Saccharomyces cerevisiae S288C: one gene and its partner. The gene in region 1 interacts genetically with each later gene. Each region holds a gene or a part of one and is shown in the gene's direction. Other genes may lie near its edges.

The links.
Region 2: mutations in HUT1 (region 1) and SND2 together harm fitness more than expected from each alone (negative genetic interaction), as found in Saccharomyces cerevisiae (2 studies listed by BioGRID).

Annotation. Positions count from the first base shown.
Region 1 is NC_001148.4:86,289-89,970, reverse strand, and holds HUT1 (UDP-galactose transporter HUT1), read left to right. Parts: upstream 1-1,937; coding exon 1,938-2,957; downstream 2,958-3,682. Other genes in the region: signal recognition particle subunit SRP68, read right to left, coding at 1-1,454; YPL245W (uncharacterized protein), read right to left, coding at 3,021-3,682. UniProt on the Saccharomyces cerevisiae protein: May be involved in specific transport of UDP-Gal from the cytosol to the Golgi lumen. Involved in the maintenance of optimal conditions for the folding of secretory pathway proteins in the endoplasmic reticulum.
Region 2 is NC_001144.5:265,843-269,126, reverse strand, and holds SND2 (Snd2p), read left to right. Parts: upstream 1-2,208; coding exon 2,209-2,754; downstream 2,755-3,284. Other genes in the region: PET309 (Pet309p), read left to right, coding at 1-1,314; signal peptidase complex subunit SPC3, read right to left, coding at 1,404-1,958; PER33 (Per33p), read right to left, coding at 2,850-3,284. UniProt on the Saccharomyces cerevisiae protein: Functions in the SND pathway, a SRP (signal recognition particle) and GET (guided entry of tail-anchored proteins) independent pathway for targeting a broad range of substrate proteins to the endoplasmic reticulum.

The DNA of each region.
Region 1 (3,682 bases):
CTATTACCACCGTTTTCGATTCTCTTTTGTAAGCTTCGGACAGAATTCAATGACAAAAGATTTGCTGGAAGTAAGATTTCGTCTAGAGATTCAATTTCAGATAATTTGTTTTCTAATCTTCGGTAAGCGTCCACATATAGAGCTAACGCCTCCATATATCTGCCTTTCGACTGATATAAAACACTCAGGCAGCCCGTATTCAGAAATAACTGGAAATACAGCTTGCATAAGTCTAATTGGCTTAGCAGCTCGTCATCTGAATACACACCAGGTAGCTCCATTATGTCCGATAAATATTTTGTCAAATTCTTCACAATACGTTCCATTTCTTTATATTTGGTTAACTTCGATGGTAATGAAGTATTTAATTTCAGCCATTGATTCCATAAATGAGTAAACAAATCTCTTTCACGAGATATAGAGGTCAAAAGAATATTATATTTAATGTAGGCTAAAATTATCTGATTGTTTTCAGAACTATTTTCAACCATCTCGTCTATGTCATCTTGATCGTCGTGGTTTGCGATGAAAAATTCATGACGGTCTAAAGCTTTCTCCAATTTTGATAGCCTCTGTGTATATTGAGTAATCTGAGTTGGGTGGATAGATAGACCTTGTTCCAAAAATTGAGCAACTTCAGCATCGATTATCTTGGCGTTGAAAGATCTCCAGTTTATGTTAGTGGTAACCTTTTGATCTTCAGTTGAGGTTGTAATTTTTTTCATATTGAATCCATTGTCTAATAACAATTTCACAAGCTCATCGTCCTTGTTCTCATCAGATTGAACTCTTTCCACGATAAAGTTATTTATTTCGGGCGTTGTAATTAAATTTCCCGCGTACTGCTTGAGAGAGTACTGGTATTTATTAACAATGTTATCTACAACTTCTTCAGCTAATAAGCTTAGATTCTTCAAGTGTTCCAATGCGGCGAAAACGAGGGCTAGGTTGTTCGAAATTTTGGCATTGTCCTTCCTCTTGAACCTTTTTCCATTAATTAGGTACTCTGAATGTACCAATTTAGCGAACGCTAAATATTGGGCACGAGTTATCCATTGCTGTTCATTTTGAGTGACGTTAACCAATTTATCAGCAGTCTTGCAGGCCTTCTTCAATCTTGTGGATAAAACCTTTTCTTCACTTTTCTTTAACTTTCCTCTTTGACGAGCTCTCAATTTCAAAGTTTCAGCCAGTGCCAAGTCCCTTTCAGCGTGTAGTAAAATCAAAACACCAATCAATTTAGTTTTATTATCATAATCCTCGGAGTTAATTTCGCCATACTTATTTTTACTTGAGTATTTCTTTGTATCCTTGGTGACCAAATGGCAACGGCTCCTCAAGTGTTGCAACTTTTTATTCAATTTCGCATGATACTTAGCGAAGTCTGAGTCTGTTTCTAAAAACTGTTCTGCACGATTACCATAGGTGGCAATGATTGGAGAATAGGCAACCATCTTTAGTTTCAAGCGTGGCTAGTTTTTGATTCAATATGGAAAAAAAGAAAATTACACTGTAATATAATACAATTGATCACTTTGATGCTCAAATAATTCAAATAACCTAGTCTCCAGCTGCTCGTTTATGCTAATATTGTTGGATTAACTCTAGCAAATATACTCCAAAAAAAATTTTCAGAACTTATCACGAACAACGATGTGGTAAAGACAACGAAATACTACGTAAATCATATTGGTCTGCTCGTTTATAAAAGCTTACTCCCAATCAAATCACTGCAATGGAATATGTCGTTTGGTTCGTTGTTGTAGTTTGTGGAATGCCAGAATCATCAGCTGTTTCTCTTCCAAAGCTTCCCTGAGATCGCTTCTAAAGGTTGTTTTGTAGATCCCATCGAACATGAAAAAATGACAGCAATGTAATTAGAACCAGAATTACAACGTAACAAGAAGAAGTAAACAAGGCAGTATTCGTATATTTGTATGGCGGGAAGTACATCCAGTTTGGTGATCTGTGCGATTGGTATATATGCTACTTTTTTGACGTGGGCATTAGTACAGGAGCCTTTGGCTACAAGAACCTGGCCAAACTCCATGGGAAAGTTTCAATTCCCTAATGTAATATCCCTCATACAAGCTTCTGTGGCAATGATGATGGGCTACCTGTACTTAAACTGGAAGAAGGTGGAATATCCGCCCAGAAAAATGATTAAAGATCATTGGAAACAATTGATGTTGATATCATTTACACAGAGTAGTTCAGGCCCGCTGGCTACAACTTCTTTAAAGCACGTGGATTATCTCACTTACATGTTAGCAAAGTCATGCAAGATGATCCCCGTGTTGTTGGTGCATTTGCTTTTGTATAGGACGCCCATAGCAAGCCAAAAAAAAGTTGTAGCTCTCTTGGTAAGTCTCGGTGTCACTATTTTCACTATAGGTGGCAACGATGGTAAAAAGTTGAAGAGATCCTTTAATGAGAGCGGAAATGATAACAAATTACAAGGGTTTGGACTACTTTTCTCTAGTTTATTCCTTGATGGATTGACCAACGCCACCCAAGATAAGCTACTAAAGGCCAATAAGGCCAAAGAAAAGGGAAAACAAACTTTGATAACAGGTGCACACTTGATGTTTACACTGAACCTCTTCGTGATATTGTGGAATATTTTGTATTTTATTGTGATCGACTGCAAACAATGGGATAATGCCGTTTCTGTATTGACGATGGACCCACAAGTGTGGGGCTATTTAATGCTTTATTCGTTCTGTGGCGCTATGGGACAATGCTTTATTTTCTATACTCTAGAACAATTTGGCTCTTTAGTTTTGATCATGATAACAGTCACCAGGAAAATGGTCTCGATGATTTTGAGTATTATTGTCTTCGGTAAGAGTGTACGTTTCCAGCAATGGGTGGGGATGTTTATAGTATTTGGTGGAATCACTTGGGAAGCACTCAACAAGAAGAAGGCTAATATACCGAAGGCAAAATCTGCGTAGATTAGTGAAGATCGCAACAAATAAAAGTTAATATTTATAAAATTTGTCTATACTATGTACTTCCTATTTTTTTGATGGACGAAGCAGTCTCTCTCTTAATTCAGGATCGTATGCATAAACATACAGACCACGCACGCCACGAGTTAAGAGGACATTAATGCTATTCATAATAATCTTTTGCTTAACGTCCTCTGCATTGTGAATGTTTTTCTTTTTGGTGAAACCGGCCCTATCGTCATACAGCTCTGGTCTTAGTTTGATGCAGTCATTAGCCGCATCATACCCAATGGAACGGCCCAAAATTACACCAGCATAATTCAGATCAAACCCTTGGATAGTATACACACTACCTACCTCATCAATCGTGTCGCAACGCTCACTCCAAGGCGTCACTTCACGTGGAGTATAGCGATCCCAGCGAACTTTGAAATTGTCACCACATTCAACGTAATAGTCTTTTCCGTCCAAGCGATAGGGAAAATCGTAAGTAGATAGCATCCTACATTGGCCGTATTGACGGTCTTTCTCCTTGATTGCCTCGTACATGGCGCCACAATCATCCCAAATTTTGAAATCAAAATTCTTAATTTTATCGTCAGCACAATCTGCATTGCCCTTAGATAGCACAGATTCAATTGGTGGGATTTTACCTGCGACACTAATTTGGTCAATCCAGTTCAACACGTTTTGTGGGGCAGCAACCCTAAACTGCTGTTTTAAAGTGT
Region 2 (3,284 bases), on another chromosome or scaffold:
AACAAAGCCATCAAAGCTTATATTGGTTTACGAAATGCCAACAAGTGTGAAGAACTTTTCGACAAGATCACAACCTCAAAACTGGCTGTAAACAGTGAATTTTACAAGATGATGATAAAATTTTTAGTTACACTGAACGAAGATTGCGAAACGGCATTGAGCATCATAGATCAACTAATAAAACATTCTGTAATCAAGGTGGACGCTACACATTTTGAAATAATAATGGAGGCATATGACAAAGAGGGTTATCGTGACGGTATAATTAACTTGTACAAGACAATGTCACAGAATAAGGTACCAGCGAATTCCAAAATTTTATATTATATATTGAAGGCCGTTGCCAAAAAAAGCCTACAAAATAATGAGGAAATCAAGGAAACGATTAATATGGTAGAAGACATCATGGAAAATGCTGCCAATGGAACTCTCGACGTTACGTATAACAAACTGCATCCCTCGGTCATGGCATGGCCAATGAGAATGATTGTGAAACATGATAGCCCACAGCGGGCTTTAGAGTTATACAACCGGTACAATGAGCTTTTCTTCAAAAAGCATGATTGGATATCAAATAATAATAAATTTGTGATGATGAGATCATTGTTGGTATTACTAGCTCAAATTGAACAATGGAAAGATTTCGAAACACTTTTCGCTAAATACATGGATCGTATTGAAAACATTGAAAACTTGCCATCATCTACAACGCCAAATATTAAACTAAGAAGCATATTCAGCGGATTGTTCCCTTATAAAGTAAGTCAGTTGATTGCAATGAATAAAATCGATGAGCTGCCATTACTGTGGAAGAAATTGCGAGAAAAAGGTTTTATTTTAGATAATATATCGTGGAACAGCGCTGTAGAAGCGTTATTTAAGGATCCAAGAACCCTTTCGTATGGTATGAAAATCGTTGATGACACACTAATTCATGGGTATAATTTGATCCATAAATTTAGACTATTAACGAAACTATCCGAGGATAAGACGCAGTCCAGTGATAAATCTTGGCCAACATTAAAAATGAAGGAAAAAGAGCCCAATAAATTTCAGCCCAGACTATACTTAAAAAGCGATACATATAACAGTATAATGAGGCAGTTAGACACATATTTGGACGGTATTGATGATTTAAAAACTTTAGAAGATCAGGTACGTGACTTCATATCAAATTACAAGTATTTTATGAAAGATTACTTATTAATGCCAAGAAGCAAGATCAATAAATGGGAACAGATTGAAATGAGACATCTTTCATATTTTAAAGAACTGAGGAAATCTAAGAGAGTATTACCTGTGAGTAAATTCTAGAAATGCATATATCATATTGTATAATCAACTGCATATATATCAAAAAATCATGTAAATAATTAACAAAAATTGAGAGAGCAAAGACTAGTCTAAACTTTGTTTTTATTTTCCACGGTCAGTGTATAGTTGCCTACAGTTTCACCGTAAGTTAGCAAACCTACCCATGGTTGAACATTCCAGTGTAACTTGAAAACCAAATCCTTGCCTTCGAATTTTCCATCTTCAATATCCCAGATAGAATACTTGGATCTTAGATCGTTCACATCAATCACAGCATCATCCTTGCTTTTTATGATCTTATCCCAAAATGTTACCTCACTTGTTATTTTTTCAGTACTGTTATACTCAGCAGTTAGATAGACAAAAACTTGCTTTGTATTCCAATTGAATAGGGGAGTGAGATCTGTATTTAGATCAAATTTAATTTTCATATTTTCCTTTGCCTTGCCTCTCTGTGAGCCAAAATATCTACTTGTTCTAACATTTATTAAAGTTTTGACGTTATCGATATTACTAGGTACTGAGAACGCGTTATTATTGATTAATTGATAGTATGAGGATGCCATGATGAATACAACCATTACAATTCCCATTGAAAAGGCCTGGTTCGATACATTCTGGAATCTTTGGACAAAGGAGAACATTGTTCTGGAGAAGTGCGGCAATGCTAGCTAGCTTTGTGGGTCTTTGTCTCAGTGGAACTTAATAGGCTTAACAATCAACTTTTTTCTCCACGTCTACCGACTGTCATGAAATTAGTCGACCTTCGTTCTGCGCCTTTGAAATGAAAAATTTCAACGTAATTAAAAAAAGATAATAGATGAAAAAAAGGTAGTATTCACGTGTGGCTTCAAGAAGACACCAAAGGCAGTGGTCTAAGTTTGTGTTGGTAGAATGGCTGGCAAAGCAGGGAGGAAACAGGCTAGTTCAAATGCAAAAATAATTCAGGGCTTATACAAGCAAGTCTCTTTGTTTTTAGGAATGGCTATCGTACGTCTATTCATTTCACGTAAGGTTACAATTGGCCAATGGATTAAGCTGGTGGCTTTGAACGTTCCTATGTTCGTTGCTCTGTATATCATTGTGCTATCCGGTAAGCCCAAATATGATGGCAATCGCGTAGTAAAACAAGGTATAGACTTGAACGACAATACAAATTTGATATCATATTTTTTTGATTTGATATATCTATCACTTTTTGGTAACATTGGTATTATAGCTTTCAGGACATTCAAATTTTGGTGGTGTCTACTATTGTGCCCCATCTATGCTGGTTACAAGTTATATGGCCTCAAAAACATGTTCATGCCTGGCGCTCAACAAACTCAGGCAGATAATCGCTCAAAAAATGCTAATGAGGGACAATCCAAATCCAAAAGGCAGATGAAAAGGGAGAGGAGGGGTGAAACTGACTCTAAAATTAAGTACAAGTATCGTTAAACAAAGCTTTTCAAACGTTTTTGAAATTTTTTGCTTTCTATAGAGGAGTGTGAGTATATACAAAATAATATTTAGATATACTTAAAATGAGCATGCTACACAGGTATCTTCCAAAACACTGTCATAACGAAATTCTTATAGCCGTTCCATAAACGGGAACAATATGGGGGCAAAGTACGGCTGACATATGCATCCAACCTAAGGACATATTGTTTAAATATCTGCCTCATAGATTCACTTTGTAGGTACCTTAATTTGAAAAACCATACATAGGTTAGTCCTGCCAACATTGTACCCACTACCTCAAACGACACGTTTGCTCTTCTTACCAACAACAAGAAAAAATTGAAGGGCACTAAGAAGAGGCCCACACGTAGGCCGCAGATAATCTCAAATACTTGCGCCATCTGTAAGAAAAATCCATTGTAGTTTTGGATGAATACCGTTATTTTGGAGTTCAACAAATTTTTCAAATTAAGTGGTATCAAAGGCAAAAATGGCAAAAGGTTTTCCTTAAAATAGTTCAGGAA